Linked DNA regions of Callithrix jacchus. The protein of the gene in region 5 interacts with the protein of the main gene of each other region in a pairwise test. Links are inferred from orthologs where the notes say so. Each region holds a gene or a part of one and is shown on either strand. Other genes may lie near its edges. The genes, in order: SH3RF2, MED18, AEN, PRKAA2, HOMEZ and DNTTIP1.

Region 1 (3,500 bases), on a different chromosome or scaffold from region 5:
CATAAGTTAAAAGACAGCAACAAGCATCACCTAACTTTCTTACTGTCTTCTCTTCCCACCATCCCTTCTGCTTCAAAGATATTATCAAGAACGTAAGCCTTTTACAAAAACTCTTATGTCTTTTAGTGGGAAAAGTCCTGGACTAGAAGTTAACAGATCTGACCTCTGCCACGGAGGTCACAATAAGTTAGTTGGAGTCATTACCATTCAGTGTGACCTCGATGTAACTTACATTATCCTGTGTCTCAGTTGCCTCTTTCTTTTTTTGAGACTTTTGTTGCCCAGACTGGAGTGTAATGGTGCGATCTCGGCTCACTGCAATCTCCACCTCCTGAGTTCAAGTGATTCTCCTGCCTCAGCCTCCTGAGTAGCTGGGATTACAGGCGCCCGCCACAACGCATGACTAATTTTGTATTTTTAGTAGAGACAGGCTTCTCCACGTTGGTCAGGTTGGTCTTGAACTCCTGACCGCAGGTGATTGGCCCTCCTCAGCCTCCCAAAGTGCTGGCCAAATGGCGTGAGCCACTGCGCCCAGCCAGTTGCCTCTTTTATACAATGCATAATTATGTGTCAAACCCTACGTAAGCACTTCACATATCTCATTTTTCTCCACTTCAATACTGTGTGGCCATTACTTATTCTACTTCCATTTTACAGATTATGCAAAATAAGTGTTTCAGAAGGGTGAAGTATTTTGACCAAAGTCACCCAGCTAGCAAGCAGCAGAGCTGGAATTCAAAACAAGATTTGTCTAATGCCAAAGTCATCTTTGTTACAAGCCGCTTTGGGGCCTCAAAAGATGTATAAAATATTCAGGAAACATCAAGGAGACTCAGTAACACATGTAGGGAGGGTGTGAATGATGTAGGGATGTTGGCCATAGCACAGTGGGGAGCTGGGGAGGAGGAGTGTTATGTGTGAGGATTCTTTTGAGGCTGCAATTTTGGTTCCTTGTCCACCAACACTAAAATCTCAGAGCTGAGACACTGTGCAAAGCGGAGGATCGAAAGAGTCAGGCCCCCACTGTCACTCTGATCCTACCTTTTCGATGCCATTTCTTGAGTTTTCTGGTTTCACCAGGATGGATGGTGGGGCAGACGCAGGTGGTTTTGGCAGAGACTCACTCTTGACGGGGATTTCCTTGCCTTCCATGATGAGAGAGCTGGCTGCTGAGTGGATCCGGGCCTCACTGCCCCTGCTGATGCATGTGAGGGCGGGCTCCCCCGTGGGGGCATGCTTGGGCCCCATCTCCACCACCATGGCTGAGGGGGAGGAGGGGACCCCCTGTGGCTGGTAGGATTGGAACTGCTGAGGCCGAACGACCATGGTGGGGCTGCGTCTGAGGGAGCCTACCACGAGAGTGGGGATCCCGGACTGGACGGGTCTCTGCAGGGATCCATCTGGGGAATTACAGGACAGAGAGGTTAGCAGCAGGGGCAGCTAGCAGTAGGTTGGGTGGGGCTGGGTAAGCAGTGCATCCTGGTATCCCAGAATAGACAAGTGCTTTCCTAATCTGACTACATTCACATTCTCTTGGGGTCTTTCAAAGGTGACTTTATTCTTTTTTTAGTGCTGTTTACTGATGCTGGCAGCAAATAGCTCTCTGGCTGAATGGTGTGTGTGTGTGTGTGTAGATGGGCTGTCAGCAGAAGGTATATTGCTTCCATTTGCCTTTGGTCTCTCTCTCTCTCTCTCTCTCTCTCACACACACACACACACGCACACACACACGCGAAGCAGACACAGAGGCAGGCAGACCAAATAGGAAACAAATGACAGAATCAGAGACAGGAGATTGAGAAACACAAAGGAGAGGCAACTGAAAAGACTGGGAGAGAGGAAAATAAGAAAAGAGAAAGGGAAAGTCTGACCAGCGACTTGCTGTGAAAATCCTAACAGAAGCTTTAGGCATGTGGTGGGGGGTCGCTTTTTGTCGGGGCCTGCAGGGAGAAAGGGTGAGTGGAAATCACTGTGACTGCTAGGCAAGCACAACAGCAGACAGAGGCGAATTTGGAAAGGGTATTCCACAGTGAGGGCTGTGAGGATGGGCTTGGCAATGTCTCATGACAGAAGATCTGGAATCAGACCTCCTGGGGAGCCTGGGATAAGTAAGTCACATCACCTCTCTGCACCTCAGTTTTCTCATTTGTAAGCTGGAGATAATAACAGTATGTCATCAGGCTGCTGTGAGGATTGCATTCTATTAGGTGTGCTAAGAGTTAGGATAGTGCCTGGACCATGATCAATGCTGCGTGTTTGTAAGCTATCCTTATTTTTGGTTAAAGGATAGCATATCCTTTAACCAAGAGTTTGGTTTTGTCACTTCCTGAGCTCATTCTTCTTCTCCTTTTTTTTTTTTTTTAATTGAAATGGAACTGTCTCAGTAAAAGGCCATTTCTTCCCCTGAAATTCTCTGGCAGGCAGGAGATCTCCTGCCCTCAGCTACATATGTCCTGCAGCTGACCTGGGGAATCGGGAGTTCATTGCATTCTGTGGGGAGGTGGAAGAGATACCCCTTTCTCCATAAGGGTTTAGAGCATTTAGAGAGCTGCAGGTTTTATCCCAGCCAGAGCTGCTAGTCTTCTGTGACACTCCACAGACTCGAGTTTGAATCAAAGTCATTTGTGTCCAGCACAGAGGGCCTGAGCCAAGGCCAGGCTGCATCGTGACTCTATCAAACCAGATGTGTACATGAAAAGCAGGACACTCACTTAACAGAGTCGGTGTCCTCAGCTGCTGCAAGCAAGCCAGTCACTATTTACACAACTGTGACCTTTCAATTTAGACATTTATTTTTCTACCGACAGCCCTGTGAGGTTCACACGGTCAATTCTCCCGTCATTTCTCTTTGCTCTGGAGAGACTGATAGCTTGCCAGCCTCACCTTGGGAAAAGACAGAAAGAGAAAGCCTCCGGGACCTGGGAAGTCAAAGAAGCACCAGGCAGACATGTCCTTAGGCTCCTGTAAATGTGTGAAAAATTGGTCCGATGCCTTATCTATTTATCTTGTCAATTCCTAATTTCCCGGAGAGTTAATGCTTTCTTATTACATGTGCATACAGTGCAAGCAGTCGAAGCTTCATGCCGATCAAGATTTTGCTAAGGTGGAGAGGGAGTATATTAAGGAAAGTGTGAGCAATTGCTTTTGGGATGCAACTCTGCATATCTAAGTGTGAATGTTTTTTCTTTTTTCAAATCAAATATATATATATATATATTTCCTTGAGACAGGCTAGACTGGAGTTCAGTTGGAGACTGTAGCTCACTGCAGTCTCAACTTCCCCGGCTCAAGCCATCCTCCCACCTCGGCCCCAAAAGTAGCTAAGACCACAGGCATGTATCACCATGCTCAGCTTCTTCCTTTAATTTTTTTAGAGATGAGGTCTCGCTATATTGCCCAGGCTGGTCTTGAACTCCTGAGCTCAAGCGATCCTTCCACCTCAGCCTCCCAAAGTGCTAGGATTACAGGTGTGAGCCACACACATTCAGCTGTGTATGAAC
Region 2 (4,059 bases), on a different chromosome or scaffold from region 5:
TTAAAGCTCACATCTATTCTTTTTTTTTTTAAATTGAGACGGAGTCTCGCTGTGTCACCCAGGCTGGAGTACAGTGGCGCGATCTCAGCTCACAGCAACCTCCGCCTCCTGGGTTCAAACAATTCTCCTGCCTCAGCCTCCTATGTAGCTGGGATTATAGGCATGCCCCACCATGCCCAGCTAATTTTTGTATTTTTAGTAGAGACGGGGTTTCACCATGTTGGTCAGGCTGGTCTTGAACTCCTGACCTTGTGATCTGCCCGCTTTGGCCTCCCAAAGTGCTGAGATTACAGGCGTGAGCCACCGTGCCTGGCCACATCTATTCTTTAGTTTGGCATGCAGAGTACTCCTGGATCTAGGCCTACACCTTTTCCACTCGCCTGCTCTGCCTATGGGGGTAGCCATTCTTTATTCCTTTACTTTCTTTTTTTCTTTTTCTTTTTCTTTTTTTTTTTTTTTTTGGATACAGTCTCTCTCTATCATCCAGGCTATAGTGCAAGTGGTGAAATGTAGGTTTGCTGCAACCTCCGCTTCCCGGGTTAAAGTGATTCTCCCACCTCAGCCTCCCCAGTAGCTGAAAGTACAGGCATGCGCCACCATGCCCGGTTTTTTAGTGTATTTTTAGTGGAGACGGGGTTTCACCATGTTGGCTAGGCTGGTCTTGAACTCCTGAACTCAAGTGACCCGCCCACTTTGGCCTCCCTAAGTGCTAGAGTTACAGGCATGAGCCACCATGCCTAACCCCTCAGTTTGTGTGTGTGTGTGTGTGTGTTTTTAATTTAATTTAATTTTATTTTTCTTTTTTCTAGTCAAGTGCAGTAGTGAGAAGGGGGGAAAGAGTAGAACAAGGAGTTCGATCTGTGTAACTGTGAACAATCAATTGAGATAACTCACTACCTTCGGACCAGCCCAGTTTTTGTTTTTTTTTTTAAGTTCATGATAATCTCTGTAAGTCTTAACAGTTCCAAGAGACTTTCTACACAAGTACATCTCCAGGTTGTCAAACCTAAAAATATTTTCCTAGAGGAAGGCCTGTGACATCAAGGCTTCAGGTAGCTCCCGGAGGAATGCTCCAAAGGAGGGCGCCATCTTTCTTACAGCAGCCCGGGATTTCGCGCATGCGTTTTTGGTTGTCTGTCCGCAATGAAGCTCTTTGGCCTTCTCGGCACCCTTACGTTCCGGAACGGCAGTTTCGAGGTTTGTGAGACTTCGGCTTCCGATCGGAGGTGAAAAGAGGAGGAAGTTGGCTGGTTGCTTCCGTCTAAGGGCTTCCGGGGCTCGGTTAACCGGAGGGCTGGAATCTAATCGTCGCTCAAAGGCGCCTAGGTGCGCGGGTGAATATAATTCCCGGCTTCCTGAGAAGAAGCTAGAGCCTCAAGGAGGTGTGTTTCTAGTGTTTAAATGGACACGTGTTCTGGATGCGGCTTAAAGGGACCTATACACCATCATCTTAAAATAACTTTCTCTTGGCTCTCTTTAAAAGGCATTTTCAGGCCAGCCGCAGTGGCTCTCCCGCCTGTAGTCTAGCTACTTGGGAGGTAGATCGGGAGGCTGAGGATCGCTTGAGCCCAGGAGTTCGAGGCTGTAGTGAACTGGGAACTCCCCATTGCACTCCAGCCTGTGCTGCAGATCGAGATCCTGTCTCCAAAAAACAAAAAGGGAGAGGGGAAGGCATTTTTAGAGAGATGGAATGCCTAGATTCTAGTTTGGTCCAAACTCTGCCACCAACTTGCTCTGTGTATCCTTCTGCCCCTCTCCGAGTCTCAGTATCCTCATCTATAAAATTAAGGGCCCTTAAGTCACTTTTCAGTTCCTCTGAATTTTGTTTCCTCTTTATTATGTCATTAGAGCCACATAGCCTCCGAAATTAAAAAATACTGGCCTCGGCTGGACGCGGTGGCTCATGCCTGTAATCCCAGCTCTTTGGGAGGCCGGATCACCTGAGACTCACCTGAGGCCAAGGAGTTCAAGACCAACCTGGCCAACATGGCAAAACCCCATCTCTACTAAAAATACAGAAAAAGCCGGGCGGGCGTGGTGGCACATGCCTGTAATCCCAGCTACTCGGGAGGCTGAGGCAGGAGAATCGCTTGAATCCTGGAGGCGGAGGCTGCAGTGAACAGAGATCACCCCATTGCACTCCAGCCTGGATAACAAGAGTGAAACTCCATCTCAAAAAAAAAAAATTGGCCTTATTTTATAAGGAATACATTGAGTCCCAGGGTGAGGGGTTGTAGGACTTTCTCAAGATTGCACAGGTAACTTGGAAGTTTCAGAACTTGAGACTAGAAGGTTATGGTATAACTCCATGATTAGATCTCCCTTTTATATTTCTGTATTATCAGTTCCTGGAACTGGCCATATAAGGAGATACTCAGACGTTTTTGAATGAATGAATCTTTTGATTTGAAGGCTAGTGCCACAACAGATCTGGTCTTTCTCCACCACTCTGATGTATAAACAAGTGAATTCTTTTTCAGGTATATCTCATGCCTTACCTGACTGGGCATTCTGAGTTGTGTTGTCTTCAACTTAGACACCATGGAGGCACCTCCAGTCACCATGATGCCTGTCACTGGGGGCACCATTAACATGATGGAGTACCTGCTGCAGGGTAAGTGAACCAGGGAACTTGGATTACCTGTTTTCCTCTTCTCTGTTCAGCTTCCGTGAAGATGAGAGACTTAACACAAAAGCAGCCTGCACAGTTTCTGGCAATCAGCTATGTTTTTAATTGTTACTTCATATTATAGTTTTATATGCATTAAACATATTAAATTTGTCATCATAACATATTTAAGTGTACAGTTCAGTAGTGTGAAGTATATTAACATTGTTAAGCAACAGATCTTTAGAACTCGTGTTTATTGTGAATAGCTTGAAAAAATACTTAATAGAACTTTTTTTCCTTTGAGACAGAGTCTCGATCTGTCACCCAGGCTGGAATGCAGTGGCACAATATTGGCTCACTGCAACCTCCACTTCCTGGGTTCCAGGGATTCTTACATCTCAGGCCTCCGAATAGTTGGGATTACAAGTGTGCATCACCATGCCCACCTAATTTTTGTATTTTTTAGTAGAGAGTTGAGGTTTTGTCATGTTGGCCAGACTGGTCTTGAACTCTTGGACTCAAGTGATCAACTTACCTTGGCCTCCCAAAGTGCTGGGATTATAGGCATGAGCCACTGTGCCCAACCTAAAATAGTTTTTCATCCTGTAAAACTGCAACTCTGTATCCATTAAACACTGATTCCCACTCCCCTGTAACTATCCCTTAGCAACTATCTTTCTAGGTCGTGTTTCTCTGATTTTTTTTTTTAGATGGATTCTTCACTCTTTTGCCCAGGCTGACTGCAAACCTCCATCTCCCAGGTTCAAGCAATTCTCCTGCCTCTGCCTCCCAAGTAGCTGGGACTACAGTGTGCACCACCATGCCTGGCTAATTTTTATATTTTTAATAGAGATGGGGTTTCACTGTGTTGGCTAGAATGGTCTCCATCTCTTGACCTTGTGACCCGCATTCCTCGGCCTCCCAAAGTGCTGAGATTCCAGGCATGAGCCACCACGCCCAGCTAACCATTTCATTTTCATCGTAGGGTCTTAGCTCATCTGTCATCCCCTTAGAGAGTCCTCTGACCACTCCAACATCTCAGAGTAGTTTCCTCCCCTTTGTCCCCTCCAGTTCCTCTCCATCTGATTCTCTTTTATTTCCTTGTTTTCATTTACTTGTTTGGTTATGTGGAGACAGAGTCTTGCTCTCTCACCCAGGCTGAAATGTAGTGGTGCAGTCACAGCACACTGCAGCCTCAACCTCCTAGACTCAAGCAATCAATCCCACCGCATCCGCCTCCTCAGTAGCTGGGATTACAGGCCCATGCTACCACGCCCAGCTAATTATTATTTTTTATTTTTAGTAGAGATGAAGTCTCACTATGTTGCCCAGGCTAGTCTCGAACTCCTGAACTCACATGATTCCTCCCACCTCAGCATCCCCAGTGTGCTCGAATTGCAGGCATGAGTCACTGCACTCAGCCTTACTTATTTATTTCTTGTTTCCAC
Region 3 (3,500 bases), on a different chromosome or scaffold from region 5:
TCTTTTCTTTGCTAATCATAAAGCATGGAATTGCCTCGGAGAAGGGAGAGAAGAGCTCAGAAATGGTGATCCCTCTACCTGTGCCTCCGCTTTCTGGAAGTCTGTGGGCATGGCCCATGGTGAAAATTCTTCCAGTGTTTACTGAGAGCTGGGAGCACTGGAAGCACAGCTCAGAATGAAGTCAGAGTGGTGGTGCTGGGGTAAGCAGAGCAGAAAGAAAGGAAAAGGGGAAATGGTTGTGGACAGGAGGCTGGTGGAATCCTGGCCCAGTCATCCCCTCCCCACAGGCACAACGATAGGCTCCCTGGTTCGTTTCCCTTGCAGTGTGGCACTGGTGGAGGAGAGGCAAGCCCGTGCTGCCTGGACCAGCCTCTAATTGTGCTGGCAGGGCACATCCGCTTCTTAATTAGCAAAAGCCACAATATCCTGGTGGCTCAGAGAGCACGGCCCTAATTGTATTTCTGCAGCAACTGAAGGATAATTACCTTTCCCTATTGGTGCTACTTTTAATTCTCTCTCTTTTTAATTGTGACTGCTTCTTCTTTAGCCCACCCTTCCATCCTTGGATTTATTCTCTCTATCCAGAATAGGAAAGGGCTTGCCTGGTGATGGAGATGCTCAGAGCAGTGCGGGGGGCATGGAGAAGACGGGCAGTGCCCAGCTCTGAGTCCCAGCCCTTTCAATTGTCAGCCTGAGACAGGGCACAGTTCTGCGATGGCCCTGAGGAAACCCAAGATGTTCTTTTGTGGAAGATGTAAGGGAGAGGTGTCCCTTCCCCAGAAGCTGTTAAGACCCTCTTCGTCCACTCCCCAGTCAGGTGATGGCTCTGCAATTCCCAGCTGCAGAAAACTGAGACCTCCCTTCCCCATCCTTTAATCTCTCAAGAAACAGATGGGTTTATGGTCTTTAATTTCTTTTAAAATAATAATTTAAAAAGTAGCCCCGTGTCTCTTTGCCACTGTTGAGAGAGAGTTAGTCCTTCATCCTTGTATTGTTTCAGAGGCAAGGACCTGAGTGTACCTTTAGAGAACAATGCTAACTAAGGTAACCCCTTGGTTAACGGGAGAGCTTAACACCCTAGGTGCTTCTAGGAAAACAGGCCTTTTTAGGGAGCTGTCAAATAAGCTTCAATAGTAATAGACAAGCTAAAATGCATCACAAAGAGTTTGGAGAGAACCACAGCATCTCTCTGAATGTCGCCATGCAGGACTGATGGATGTAGCCTACATGAGCAGCCTGGCTCTAAAAAGCTACCACCCAGCCACTGCCCTACTAGAAGCTCACTATGAGAGCAGGGACTCCCGCTCATTATTCTTCCCAGTGCCTTGCATGCAGCCTGGCTCATGACAGATGAAACTGGTTGGCAAACAAGCAAAGTTCAGGGACAGAGTAGGACTGTGAAGTGTGAACAGGGTCAGTCCATTTTCATTGGCTTTTTCCTTTCAGAGCCAGTGAAGATGGACTTGAGCTGACTGTGGCCCTAGTTTTCAAAATTCTTTAATTCTGAGCTCTATCTGAATTGGGAGAAGAGGCAAGCAACAAAAGAGGCTGCTATAGTCTCAAAGAAATAGATCTTGAAAAAATGACCTGCCCTTGAGCCCACCAACTTCCACTCCCCACTTCTAATTTCTCCTCTGAATTTAGAGCTGTTCCCTTAGCAACGCTTGTTTCCATGGTTTCTTCCATGACAATGATCCCCAAACCCCTCCTCTCTTTTACCTCATGACAGTAATGGGTGATGGGGATCCTCAGTGTGGCCACTCCATGTTACCATGGTAACAATTAACTGAGTCTTAATTTATCTTTTGTGAAGAGGGCTAGGGAATATGAAGCTTTTGATTTGGAGGGGGAGGGTCCAGGTCTAGAGCTACCGTTCTCATAAAGAAGAAGTTAAGGGATTTGTCCTAATACTAGCCAGTAGGATTTAGTTCAAACATTTGTTCAGCCCTACTTTAAGCACAACTGAATTTGAGGGAATTAAAGGGGTACAAGACATAGCTCCTAATATTGAAGGGCTTATAGTCTAGCCCTAGGGCTCATGGTACCTCTGAACTCTGGCACAGATGGGGCCAATAAAGTATATGGCTCTTGATAGCACCGTCATGGTCAGGCATCTATCTATCCACTCCCAGTATCCCCTCCAGCCAAAAGCCAAAAAAAGACTGACCGAAGCAGTCTGTACTCACAGTAAGGCTTCTTCCAGGCTGCTGTCAGAGAGTTTCCATCCTGAAAGGGAAAGAACTTTGACTCCCCCTCTTTTTAGGAAAGTGGGGACCAATGCCAGCATCTCTGAGTGGGATTATTTGATGCAGGGATAAAAAGAAAAAAAACCAGACCTGCGCAACGCCAATGCTATGGACTGGGGCGATCTCCAGTTCCAGGATCCCCATCACCTACCTGCAGCAAGTCTTCCTGGGAAGCGATGAATCAGCTCTTACACTGAATTAGAGAGTCATTGTCTCCATCCATTCAGCTTTTCTGTTTGTCACTGAAAATTCAGGCAAAAGGCGCAGCTCTGAAGAATGAAAGTAGAAAAGCAAACAAATAAAACATCAAAGTGGAGAAGAGGGCACCAAATACCAAAGCTGAAAGCTGAGCAGAGTGAATCCAAAAGCTGACTATCCATTCTGCGTCACAAGCAATGCAGCTCTTCTAAATTCTAGCTTTCCATCTTCATCCCCAAAAGTTTTCACCACATCTCTAATAATGAGGACCAATTCTCTACTTTTAGGGGAAATCACAAAATTTTCTGGACCCTGGTAACAATAACCTGCACTGACTTTGAAAGATAATCACAGTATCTCCCAAAATGAAGGGGAAAAAAGCTATAGGACAATGTATAAGGCAGGTATGTTGAAGTAAGCTATGAACAGATAGGAAGAAAAGTCAATGCAATCTGGGTTAGCCAAAGTCAATTCCAGATCCTGAGTCCAGGACTCTGTGTTCTGTCCTTTGCTACTGGATGGAACTAAGGCAGATCCAATCCTTCTGGGTACCCTGCTCACTCAGCTAGTCAGAAAAGGATAAATGGCATCCTCTTATTGGTTGACAAGGCAATGCACACCAACCAATGAAAGGATGCTTCTTCCTTTCCAGCCAATAAGAGCTCACTTATCTTCTTGAAAGGAAAGTAGGCCCTTTGTTCATAAAGAAAATAAGCAGAAAGTGAATACATCTTTTTAAAAAAAAACAACTGTTGCTATGGGACATTATTGATGTGATAAATGATAGCTGCCCCAGAGAATTCATAAAGAAAAGCACTGCTTTGGAAAGAAAAGTACAAAAAGCAGACCAGCTGTCTGGCCTGGTCTGAAGGGAAGTTTCTATAGTAACATGTGAGAGAAAAGCATTTTAATATAAATACCCCCAAAACTATCAAATCCGTTCATTGAGGGAATTTTTGACCTTTTCAACTTATGCTGAAATTATAATGATTAAACATTTTTATATTAATAATAGATGAAGGAAACGAGGAGAAAAGAAGAGAATAAGAGGAAAAG
Region 4 (3,500 bases), on a different chromosome or scaffold from region 5:
ATATAACTTATTCATTGGTACATTATAAAAATGTTTATACATATTGCAATGGTAAACTCAAGTCTTTCTACAGTGATCAATGTGTGATTTTAAAAGTTAACAGAATCCTATGAGAGAAAATATGGTAAAAATATTATTGCAAATAGCAGATCCAGTATTAGCTTAGTCCATTTGGGCTGCTATAAGAAAAATGCAATAACGTTGATGGCTTATGAACAACAGAAATTTATTTGTCACAGTTCTGAAGACTGTGAAGTCCAAGATCAAGGTGCCAGCAGATTTGGTATCTGGGTGAGGGTCTGCTTCCTGATAGACTACTGTATGCTCACTGTGACTTCACATGGTGAAAGGGAGGGGGGATCTCTCTGGGGTTGCTCTTATAAGGGCACTAGTCCCATTCATGAGAACTCTGCGCTAGTGACCTAATCACATCCCTGAAGTTCCCACCTCCTAATACTATCTCCTTGGGGGTTAGGATTTCAACACTTGAATTTTGAGAGGCTGTAAGCATTCAGTCCATTGCAAAGAGTTTGAACAATACAGCAAATGATGTAAACAATTGCCATTTTTATGTAAACATTATATCCTTTTTATTGGAATAGTAGAGATTTACTTTGTTACCTCAGACTCAGGTTTGAGTTTGATAATATGCTGTCATGGGAATTGTAATGCTGTAGAAAGGTAAGAGGAAAAAAAGAAATAACACTATAAGCATAGGTTATCTGGATCAAAGCTAATTTTAGCCATATGAGCTAGGAAGTGATGAGAGTGAAAGTGGTAAATGCACAGGATAATGTGATACAGGATAAATGCTGTCTATACAGTACTAATTAAGTACTTTAATGTTTAAAAAAAATTTTTTTTTTTTGGAGACAGAGCATCTTTTTCACCCAGGCTAGAGTGCAGTGGCACAATCTTATCTCACCGTACTGCCTCCTGGGTTCAGGTGATCCTCCCACTTCAGCCTCCTGAGTAGCTGGAACTACAGGTGTTCACCACCATCCCTGGCTACATTTTATATTTTAAGTAAAAACAGAGTTTCACCATGTTGCCTAGGCTGGCCTCAAACTCCTAGCCTCAAGCAATCCACCCACCTCAGCCTCCCAAAGTGCTAGCATTACAGGTGTGAGCTACAGTGACTGGCCTTAAATATTCTTTAAAGTTGTGCCAGGGCTAAAAATTCTATTATATGTATATTTTCTTATACTAGTTCTTTAAGAAAAAGATTTAACCTATACACTATAGTATTTTTTCAAGTTTATGGTCATCTACTTTTGTTTCCCTCAAAAATCAACCACAGAAAGTGTTATATTTTTTAATTAGTATGTTTCAGTTAAATGAATTTATGACAAATAAAAATACCCTATTCACTTGCCAGACTTGAATAGTAATTGGCTAGCCTAATTATTCTCTTTGAGGAGCAACCACTGAATATTGGGGAGTGGCCATGGACTTCAATAAAGACCTTGGAAATGAATATGTACTGAAGGTAGACTACCTAGATATAGAAGTAGGATACATATAGAGAGAAATAGTGATGCTTGCATTTTAGGTTTGTGTTGCCATCTTTTTTTAGATTGTATGCAGGTCCTGAAGTTGATATCTGGAGCTGTGGTGTGATCTTGTATGCTCTTCTTTGTGGCACCCTCCCATTTGATGATGAGCATGTACCTACGTTATTTAAGAAGATCCGAGGTGGTGTCTTTTATATCCCAGAATATCTCAATCGTTCTGTCGCCACTCTCCTGATGCATATGCTTCAGGTCGACCCACTGAAACGAGCAACTATCAAAGACATAAGGTGATTATTCTTTTTGTTTCTGTTACGTATATTTTCTCATAGGAATAATAATGATGTTAATTGAATGATTCTCCTAAAGTCTCATTTCCTGCCCTCGCCACCTCACCCCTGGCCAATGAAGAGAAGGTGAAGTACCAGTGCTTCAGCCACACTGAACTTGTCCTTGTTTCTTAAACCTAGCATAGATTTTATGTCTTTATGTCTTTGTTTATATTATTCTCTTTGCCTTGATACCTTTTCTGTTTTCTTTTTTGACCTGATAGACTTCCATTCATTCATTAACGTTCCACAGGTGCTTTCATTTCTATTTTATCAACATTTTGTTCATGCTTTTCTTATTTAATTCTCATCCTGTATCTGGTTGTTTCTCAGTGTGTCTTTTTTTCTCTCTTAAATTATGACTATTAGGGTAAAGAGTGTGTCTTATTCATCTTTGCCTATATAATGCTAAAAGGCCTGGAAATATGGTTATGTTTAGAAAGTGTCTGAAAAAAATTTCAAATGGAAAAGTAGAGTGAGATTTATGTATTTTACATATGGTTAAAAACATAAAGCATAAAAAGTTTTGCTAAGTTTTTGAATTCAATGGCTGCTAGTGGGCTTACTGTGAAGGCTCTTGTGTCACGTGAGAAACTTTGGAAAGTGCCATTGCTAATGCACCTATGAATATAACCTTTGTATATAACATATCTTTGTATAGTAGCAAGATGATTCATTGCATTCTGCTTATTACTTATCAAGGCATGTTTCTTAGAGGTTTTTTGTTCTTACCTAAGATTTCACCCATGTTTGTTTACAAGCACATTCTTTTGACATCTTTCCAGAACTCTTCCTCTTCTCTTCATTAGCCAGCAAAGACTTCTTTTTTTTTGAGGCAGGGTCTCACTCTGTCACCCAGCCTGGAGTGCAGTGGTGTGATCACAGCTCACTGTAGCCTCAACCTTCCAGGCTGAGATGATCCTCCCATTTTAGCCTCCTGAGTGTCTGAGACTATAGGTGAAAGCCACTACACCCAGCTAGTTATTTTTTGTATTTTTAGTAGAAATGGGGTTTTGCCATGTTTCCCACACTGGTCTTGAACTCCTGGGCTCAAGCGATCACCCATCTTGCCCTGCCAAAGTGCTGGAATTACAGGTGTGAGTCACGGCACCCAGTCCCAGAAAAGATTCTTTTGAGACCTCTGACCTTTGGAATTTATTTCCTTCCCTCCCCCCCTTTCCCCCCCTTTCTTTCTTTCTTTTCTTTTCTTTTCTTTTCTTTTTTCTTTCTTTCTCTTTTATTTTTGAGATGGAGTCTTACACTGTTGCCTGGGCTGGAGTGCAGTGGCATAATCTTGGCTCACTGCAGCCTCCACCTCCTGGGTTCAAGCAGTTCTTCTGCCTCAACCTCCCGAGTAGCTGGGGTTATAGGCACCACCACCACACCCAGCTAATTTTTTGTATTTTTAGTAGACACAGGGTTTCACTGTGTTGGCCAGGCTATGATCAAACTCCTGACCTTGTGATCTGCCTGCCTTATGCTCCCAAAGTGCTGAGATTATGGGCGTGAACCACAGCGCCCAGCCAACCTTTGGAATATTTAAATGATGGCTGAGGTAGCTGTTTATGTGACTGCTGCTGATTTCTTGCAAGCAAGGACTGATGATTCCTTTTGGATTTACGTATCATTTTCTTTTCCCAGCCTTTCTTTAGCACTCCAA
Region 5 (4,247 bases):
GCAGTGAGCCCAGATTGCACCACTGCACTCCAGCCTGGACGACAGAGTAAGACCCAATCTCAAAAACAAAATTTTTTAAAGTTTCAGACTGCTCTCATGCTGTTTTAATTTACAGTTTACATACAGGTTGTGGGGGTTCAGTATGTGCTCAGATGTTACCTCAAACTTGCTCACAAGTTACATTAAAGCAGAATCACATAAAAGTTTGGATGTAAAAGTACATTTGGTTATAGATTACAGAGGCAACATTCCTAACCCCTTTAGACATCATCTTATGTGCAGGAAAAGGCAAGGGCTAGGGTCATTTACCTTCTAATTTTTAGAGACACAGTGTTACTCTGTTGCCTAGGCTGGAGTGCAGTGGTGCAATCATTGCTCACTACAGCCTCCAACTCATGGCTCAAACGATCCTCCTGCTTCAGCCTCCTGAGTAACTGGGACTACAGGTGCACTCCACCAAGTCCGGCTAATGTTTAAATTTTTTGTAGAGTTAGGGACTCGCCATGTTGTGCAGGCTGATCTTGTATCCTGGCCTCAAGCAATCCTCCCTCTTTGGCCCCCCAAAGCATTGACATTAGGTTTGTGAGCCACCGCACCCAGCCCTTTTATCTTTTAAGGAATATAGTGACTCAGGCAAGAGATACGGAGGACGGTGCCCCATCCTGTTTTGTCTTCAAAAGGTCTTTCCAGAGACTTCAGTCAGAGTCAGAGGCTTTGTGAAGTTATGTTGCCAAGCTGACATAAGCAAGCCTGGCTTCTTATATTTGTTTCTTTGTCTCACGGAAGATGAGGAATCCTAAAATACAAATTTTGTCCATAACTTTATACTGTGTGGGATACTGCTTTGGTGAAGTCCGTTTTATTGTCATCCCTTTCTTTTTGTAAATTAAAAAAAATTTTTTTTTTTTTTTCTTGAGACAAGGTTTCGTTATGCTGCGCAGACTGGCCTCAAACTCTTGGGGTCAAGCCGTTCTCCCACCTCAGTCTTCATCCCTTTCGAGACAGCGAAAAACAAATATGCAGAGCTCCGGGTCCTCTTTTCTAGGGCAGGGAGGGGAGCCTGAGGGTCTGGTAGGTCCCAATGAGGTGACTGCTCCAGCACTTCGTCTTTGGAAACATCCTGTCTAGCGCCAGTTTGACCCGAGGAACGGCCTAAGTCGCCCGCAGGCTCCTAAAGCCCTCGTCTTTCCGGGTGGCAAGACAGCTGATCCATCTCTAGAACAAGTTCCCGGTTGCTTTAGGCGCTTTGTTACAGCTGACGGGGCTGGCGGCAGTTGGGCTCTCCGCTGGGAAAGGCGCAGCTCGAGTGTAAGGCTCGGGAGGGGACACTGAAATGGTCTTCCTGGAAGGCTTCCTTCAGGAGGAAACAAATTGGGAGTTGTTGGCGGTACAGACAGTTCAGCAAAGTGTTCCTCCTTGGGGAATTTCGGAAGGATCCTGGCCCGGTGTACTCCAAGGTCCGGCGCCGATAGGTCGAGGGTAGAGGGAGGTACCAGGCTGGGCAGCTTGGCCCCAGGGGGACATCTTCCCTGCTCCACGCATCCAATAGATGACCCCAGCTGAGGCCCACGTAGCCAATAGCCGACTTCAGCCGAGACCCACGCAGCCAATGGTCGGCCTGCTGCGCTTCGCCCCTGCCCGCCCGCCGGCGCCCACCAATCAGGACTCGGGCCACCTTGGCACCGCCTCTGGACGCCCACCCCACCCATCCGCCCCGCCTCCAACTTGCTCAGCAGGGCTGGGTACACCGGCGCGCTCTCCGGGACTGGGTGGGGGGGCAGTCCCGGTTTCGGCCTTCGCGCGGGTGGGCTCGGAGCGGCCGCACCGGGCAGCAACCCCACTCCCAACTCGGAGACCCCTGCCCTCTCCCCCACTTCCCCCCGGCCCATGGTGCGAGGCTGGGAACCGCCGCCCGGGCTGGACCGCGGTGAGTGATCCCCAGCCCCTTGGACTTCCCCTCCCAGCTCGTGTACGATCTCCGACCTCTGGAGCCCCATCCCCGCGCTGGTGGGGGGAGAATTCTAGGTTCGAAGTCGCCCGGTTCTCTCTTTTTTCTCCTCTGGAGTTTTTGGTTCCCTGTTGTAACTACGGGAGGGGTGAGTGTCTGCGTAGGGGAGGGAAACGTTGGGTTGGGGCGCCCTTGGCGAGAGTAGGATCGAGATTCGCCTGCTTCATGGGGCTCATCGCCCCAAGTGCAACAACTTTTTGTTCCCTGACCCAGTTCGGAGCCTTCTGGACTGCCTGTGAAATGGAGGATAGGAGAAACGTTTCCTTCCCAGCCCCCTCCAACACGCCCCCCCCCCAACCCCCATGACTACCTCCTGGCGACCTCAACACACATATAGAACCTGGCCTTGCTTCTGAGGATCTGGCCTTTGGGAATGAAAGGTTTAGAAGCAATTGCCCCTTCTGACTCCCGTACCCAGCCATACTGAGAAAACCAACCAGGAAACTGAGAACCCAAGTCCTCTGGGGTTCCTAGTGTTGCGTCCTGTTCTGAGACTACTAAACTGAAAGAAGACTCAAGCTGAGACCTGTTTGGTAATGTGGGCCCAGATCAGATTTTTTTTCTTTTTTTTGTCATGTGAACCTCCTTCCCATCGTACACTTGAAGCCTTTTTATATTATACGATTAGGTTAGATGGTAGTAACTGAAAAAGCCAGATTGGGAATTTTAAAGATAATGAATACATATCTTAAACATTATAATTAAAAGTACGTTCATTTCACCAATCTTTTGATGTAGTGGTGAGACTGTTTTTGTGTCTAAGTCAGCTGTTCGGAGTTCCCAATCCTCTTTCTAATATTAACTACACAGGGAGTCTCAAAACTGGGTATGCCCTGAGAACTTTTAAAAACTGTGGATGCCTGGGCCCCACACAGACTATTGAATCTGAATGGGGAGAAGGGTGGCCTTGTTTTTAAGCTTCCCAGGTAATTCCAGTGTGCAGTCTGAGACGAGAGCCACTCTGGCACTTTCATCATCTTTGATTTCCTGTTTTGCTTTATTTATAAAAGTGAAGAAATTTAGACACCTTTGAGTGCAGAGGACTTTCAAGATTAAGTTCCACCCCTCAGTCTTTTACAGTTGTCTTCCTCACTCCTGACTCAACAGTTTTTAAAATGCATACTCTTCTTTGTGTTATGTCTCTCCAAAGCATTTGACTTAGTTTTCATAGGAACAGTTTTTAAAAATCAATATTCCTGAAGGAACAATTTTAATGCAGTGAGTTTTCATAGGTTTATGTGAGATTTAATTACATTATTATATAGACACTGAAAAGGTATGGACATAAGAAGGTTTGTAATCACACAAAACTGGCCCCAGCACACAGGACAACTGAATGAAGCAGGTGATTTTGGCTCACTAGTAGCCTACTAGCCTTTAGTTTCCAGTGCACTGTGGGTATTGGTCATGTAATCCGGTGATCAGTTAAGCCAGGCTCCTGGCCCAGTTGAGCATTGCTCCCTTCCACTCTTTCCAACTAATATCACAAATACCTTGTCCTTTCTAGATGCACTTGAATTCTTGAGTATTCCATCAACTCTTTACATTCATTCACATTAAGCTGTTCATCTTTAAGCAATTGCCACTATTGCCTTTATTAAGTTGGAAGGATATGAGACAGTAATCCTTAACCTGGCTTCTTTTTTTTTTTTTTGAGACACAGTCTCACTCCCTCACCAGGCGCCAGGCTGGAGTGCAGTGGCGGGACCTTGGATCACTGCAACCTCCATCTCCAGGTTCAAGCACTCCTGCCTCAGCCTCCTGAGTAGCTGGGACTACAGTCATGCGCCACGACACCCAGCTAATTTTTTTGTATTTTTGGTAGAGATGGGGTTTCACCATGTTGGCCAGGATGGTCTTGATCTCTAGCTCTAGACCTCATGATCCGCCCACCTCGGCCTCCCAAAGTGCTGAGATTATAGGCATGAGCCACCACACCCAGCATTTTTTTTTTTTTTTTAGACAGAGTCCTGCTCTGTCACCCAGGCTGGAAGTGCAATGGTGTGATCTTGGCTCACTGCAACCTCTGCCTCCCAGGTTCAAGCGATTCACTTGCCTTAGCCTCCCAAGTAGCTGGGATTGCTGGTGACCGCCACTCCCAGCTTTTTTTTTTTGTATTTTTAGTAGAGACGGGGTTTTGCCATGTTGGTCTGGCTGGTCTCGAACTCCTGACCTCAAGTGATCTGCCTGCCTCGGCCTCCCAAAATGCTGGGATTACAGGCATGAGTCATCATGTCCA
Region 6 (3,500 bases), on a different chromosome or scaffold from region 5:
ACTACCCTCCTTCCTCACCCCTCAAACCAGGGTACCCTCCCTCCATGATGACTTAAGCGGATGGATCTGATTTTACCAGGCACAGAACCCTGGCCTCTTTTCCTTCAGTACCCCTCTCTCCATCTGCTCCCTTAGGGTCTCACCACACTGTTGGTCCCTACTCACACCACGCCGGCAGCTGCTCGGTCGCTTGACAGGGTGTGTCCAGGAGGCCGTCCTTTCCTCTGCCACAAAGAACAGCTGTCAGAGGCCTGCCCCTGGGGTTACTCCCCATACCTTGTGGGCAGGTCCGGGGTCACTTGGTAGAGATGGTTTTCCAAAGAGATCAAATGATATTTGACAGGGACAGGGAGAAAAACTACCTCTCATGCCCAGGAAGGCTCAAAAAGGCTTTGAGGAAGTCTAGTACTTTGTGGAGTGAAGAGCCATTTTTTTCTCTTATTGGTAAAGAGCCTTTTTTGAGAGACAGGGTCCTCTGTCACTCAGCCTGGAGTGCAGCGGGATGATCATATCTCACTGCAGCCTTGAACTCCTGGGCTCAGTGATCCTCCCACCGCAGCCTCTTATGTAGCTAGGACAACAGGCATGTGCCAGAATGACTGGCTAATTTATTTTTTTGTTGTAGAGACAGGGCCTCACTATGTCACCAAGATGGGTCTCAAAACTCCTGGGCTCAAGTGATCCTCCCCAGTTTGGTCTCCCAAAGTGTTGGGATTATAGGCATGAGCCACCACGCCTGGCCTGAAGAGCCCTTTTCAGCTAGAAAATAAAACAAGAAAATGGTTTACCTTTTTAGGAAGGGGGCTTCCTCGATGGGCACATTCTTCTTCTGCCTGCCGGCCACGCTAAAAGAAAACGGAAGGGAGTTAGCAGAAGGCCAGTGTCTGGGAGCTGCAGGTCTGCTGGAGTTGCAGAAGACAGAGTCCTGGACTACAGCCCTCCAGCCCTGCTCTGACCCAGGCCACAGAAGCCCATCTAGAATGATGCTGTTTGGACCTGGTCCTACAAATGGAAGGTACCTGAGACCTCCCTGGACCCACATATTTCACTTGCTTCCTAGCCTGAAGGACCTCTCCCTCCAATACCCCAGAACACAGTGACTCTGACCTTTATTCCTGGAAGCTCATGGGTCAATCTGGGTACTACTTTTTCTCCATCTGAAAACAGTAGTTTAGCCTGAAGGGAAAGAGAGCAAGTGTTACCAGTTACTGTTTCTGTGGGTAAGCATACCCTATCTACTTCCCTCTTTTTTTATTTGGAGACAAAGTCTCACTCTGTTGCCCAGGCTGGAGTGCAGTAGTGGCTCACTGCAACCTCTGCCTCCTGGGTTCAAGCACTTCTCCTATCTCAGCCTCCTCAGTAGCTTGGGATTACGGGCATGCCACCATGCCCGGCTATTTTTTTTTTTTTTTTTTTGGCATTTTTAGTAGAGGTGGGGTTTTACCATGTTGGCCAGGCTGGTTTCAAACTTCTGACCTTCTGATCTACTCGCCTTGGCCTCCCAAAGTGTTGGGATTACAGGCGTGAGCCTCTGTGCCTGGCCTGCTGTCTTTCTTTTAATAAATATTGAGTACATAGGACCTAAGTGCTGTGAACACAGCAGTAACTAGGACAAGCACTTGTGGAGCTTATATTCTGTGGGTGACCTGCATAATAAGCACAGAAACAAACATGGTAATTGTGGATCATGATAGATGCTGTGAGAAAAAAAGAAAAAAACCCAGACAGATGTGACAGAGAAACACCAGAGTGGGAGGGCTACTTTGAGGGAGTAGCCAGGGAAGGCTTGCTCAGAAGATGGGCCTCTGAGTTGAGGTGTGAAGGAGGCTGTAAAGCGTTTCAGCAGCAGGGAGGAGTGTGGAAGACTGAAGGTGCGAACACCTCGCTCATTTGAGGAAGAACAAGATGGAATGGGCAGAGGGGAGATGGTGCATGAGCAGGGGCCTTGCAGGCAGGTGGAGAATTGGGTTCATCTGATCTCTGCCAGTGGCATTTGACTGCGCTGAGGGCTCCCCCTTCTGGAAACACTCTTTTCTACACACTTCCTTGAGTTCCTCCTACTTCTCTGGCCAGTCTTTCTTAGCCTTCTTTGCTGGCTTTTCCTCCTCAGTCTTGTTCTTTTCCCCCATCGCCTCTCACTACATATTCTATTTGCTCTCATTTAGAAATTCCCACAGCTTCAATTAATATCTATAAACCATGAGTCCATAATTTTTAAAGTCTTCAGCTGTAGACAAAAGCTTATCGTCTGAGCTCTAGACTCACATACCAAATAGTCTGCACCATGTCTATGCTTGGATGGCTCACAGCTGCTAATTCATAATTGGATTCAAAGTTCTCCAAACTTTGTCCCTTTTCAGAGTGAAGAAGTCTCAATGTGTAACTGTACATACATTTGTGCGGTAATCTAATTCATACCTGTCTGTTAACTAGGCTGTAAGTTCTATTAGAGCAGGAAGTTTGCTCATTTATCATCTGTTCATTCATTTAGTCAATAATTCAGCAAACTCAGTGCATATACTAAGAGCCATATTCCAAGGCTGGGAATACAGTGGTGAACAAGATTAGTCCTTAAAGCTCAAGATTTTAGCAGAGGTAGGAGTGCAAGGAGAAGACCTCTCTGATATTTAAACTAAGATCTGAAGAAGGAGCCAGCTATATAGAGTTAAGGGTAGATTACTCCAGGTACTAAGAACAGCAAGCGAAATGGCCTGAGCTTGTTTAGAGGACCAGAAAGGAGTTCAGAACAGCTACAGTAGAGTCAATAAAAGGGAGGTGAGATGAAATGAAGTTAAAGAAGCAGGCAGAAGCCGATCCAGGTAGGGCTCTGTGGGTCATGGTAAGGCATTAGGACTTTATTCTGCCTAAAACAAGAAAGTCATTGAAGAGTTTTAAAAAGGGGAGTGATGGCCGGGCACGATGGCTCATCCCTGTAATCCCAGCACTTTGGAAGGCTGAGGTCAGGAGTTTGAGACCAGCCTGACCAACATGGAGAAACCCTGTCTCTAGTAAAAACACAAAATTAGCTGGGCATGGTGGCGCATGCCTATAATCTCAGCTACTTGGGAGGCTGAGGCAAGAGAAGCACTTGAACTTGGGAGGCAGAGGTTGCAGTGAGCCAAGATCCTGCCATTGGACTCCAGCCTGGGCTACAGAGCAAAACTCCATTAAAAAAAAAAAAAAAGGTGGAGTGACATGATCTAATTCATCTTTACAGAGATCAGTCTGGCTGCTGTGAGAAGATGATTGGAACTGGGTAACAGTGAATATAGCTCTGGACTGAGATATAAATGTGTCAATTATGAGCAGCCGAATTGGCTTCAAAGCCACAGGACTAGATGAAAACACCTATGAAAACAGTGAACCACGAAAGAGAAAGGGTTTAAGGATTGAACTTGGGAAGGCACCAACAGTCAGAGGTTGCGGGGGGGCGGGGCAACGGAGAAGAGTAGGCGATAAAGTTAGAGCAAACAGAGGAGTGTTCTAAGAAACACGAAACG

What was found.
Region 1: the proteins of HOMEZ (region 5) and SH3RF2 interact in a two-hybrid assay, tested with the Homo sapiens proteins (2 studies listed by BioGRID). The two-hybrid records come from large-scale screens. The link is inferred for Callithrix jacchus from reciprocal best matches to the Homo sapiens genes HOMEZ and SH3RF2.
Region 2: the proteins of HOMEZ (region 5) and MED18 interact in binary tests that used the Homo sapiens proteins (3 or more experiments, as listed by UniProt). The two-hybrid records come from large-scale screens. The link is inferred for Callithrix jacchus from reciprocal best matches to the Homo sapiens genes HOMEZ and MED18.
Region 3: the proteins of HOMEZ (region 5) and AEN interact in binary tests that used the Homo sapiens proteins (3 or more experiments, as listed by UniProt). The two-hybrid records come from large-scale screens. The link is inferred for Callithrix jacchus from reciprocal best matches to the Homo sapiens genes HOMEZ and AEN.
Region 4: the proteins of HOMEZ (region 5) and PRKAA2 interact in binary tests that used the Homo sapiens proteins (3 or more experiments, as listed by UniProt). The two-hybrid records come from large-scale screens. The link is inferred for Callithrix jacchus from reciprocal best matches to the Homo sapiens genes HOMEZ and PRKAA2.
Region 6: the proteins of HOMEZ (region 5) and DNTTIP1 interact in binary tests that used the Homo sapiens proteins (3 or more experiments, as listed by UniProt). The two-hybrid records come from large-scale screens. The link is inferred for Callithrix jacchus from reciprocal best matches to the Homo sapiens genes HOMEZ and DNTTIP1.

Annotation. Positions count from the first base shown.
Region 1 is NC_133503.1:44,557,051-44,560,550, reverse strand, and holds part of SH3RF2 (E3 ubiquitin-protein ligase SH3RF2), read right to left. Parts: intron 1,401-3,500; coding exon 1,042-1,400; intron 1-1,041. UniProt on the Homo sapiens protein: Has E3 ubiquitin-protein ligase activity. Acts as an anti-apoptotic regulator of the JNK pathway by ubiquitinating and promoting the degradation of SH3RF1, a scaffold protein that is required for pro-apoptotic JNK activation.
Region 2 is NC_133508.1:65,000,426-65,004,484, forward strand, and holds the start of MED18 (mediator of RNA polymerase II transcription subunit 18), read left to right. Parts: upstream 1-1,259; 5' UTR 1,260-1,326; exon of another isoform or gene 1,327-1,382; intron 1,383-2,480; 5' UTR 2,481-2,541; coding exon 2,542-2,614; intron 2,615-4,059. UniProt on the Homo sapiens protein: Component of the Mediator complex, a coactivator involved in the regulated transcription of nearly all RNA polymerase II-dependent genes.
Region 3 is NC_133507.1:17,840,927-17,844,426, reverse strand, and holds part of AEN (apoptosis-enhancing nuclease), read right to left. Parts: exon of another isoform or gene 2,516-3,500; 5' UTR 2,288-2,515; coding exon 2,187-2,287; intron 1-2,186. UniProt on the Homo sapiens protein: Exonuclease with activity against single- and double-stranded DNA and RNA. Mediates p53-induced apoptosis.
Region 4 is NC_133508.1:93,774,051-93,777,550, forward strand, and holds part of PRKAA2 (5'-AMP-activated protein kinase catalytic subunit alpha-2), read left to right. Parts: intron 1-1,576; coding exon 1,577-1,801; intron 1,802-3,500. UniProt on the Homo sapiens protein: Catalytic subunit of AMP-activated protein kinase (AMPK), an energy sensor protein kinase that plays a key role in regulating cellular energy metabolism.
Region 5 is NC_133509.1:57,627,926-57,632,172, reverse strand, and holds the start of HOMEZ (homeobox and leucine zipper protein Homez), read left to right. Parts: upstream 1-1,447; 5' UTR 1,448-1,549; coding exon 1,550-2,096; intron 2,097-4,247. UniProt on the Homo sapiens protein: May function as a transcriptional regulator.
Region 6 is NC_133506.1:41,039,845-41,043,344, reverse strand, and holds part of DNTTIP1 (deoxynucleotidyltransferase terminal-interacting protein 1), read right to left. Parts: intron 1,177-3,500; coding exon 1,108-1,176; intron 846-1,107; coding exon 789-845; intron 225-788; coding exon 166-224; intron 1-165. UniProt on the Homo sapiens protein: Increases DNTT terminal deoxynucleotidyltransferase activity (in vitro). Also acts as a transcriptional regulator, binding to the consensus sequence 5'-GNTGCATG-3' following an AT-tract.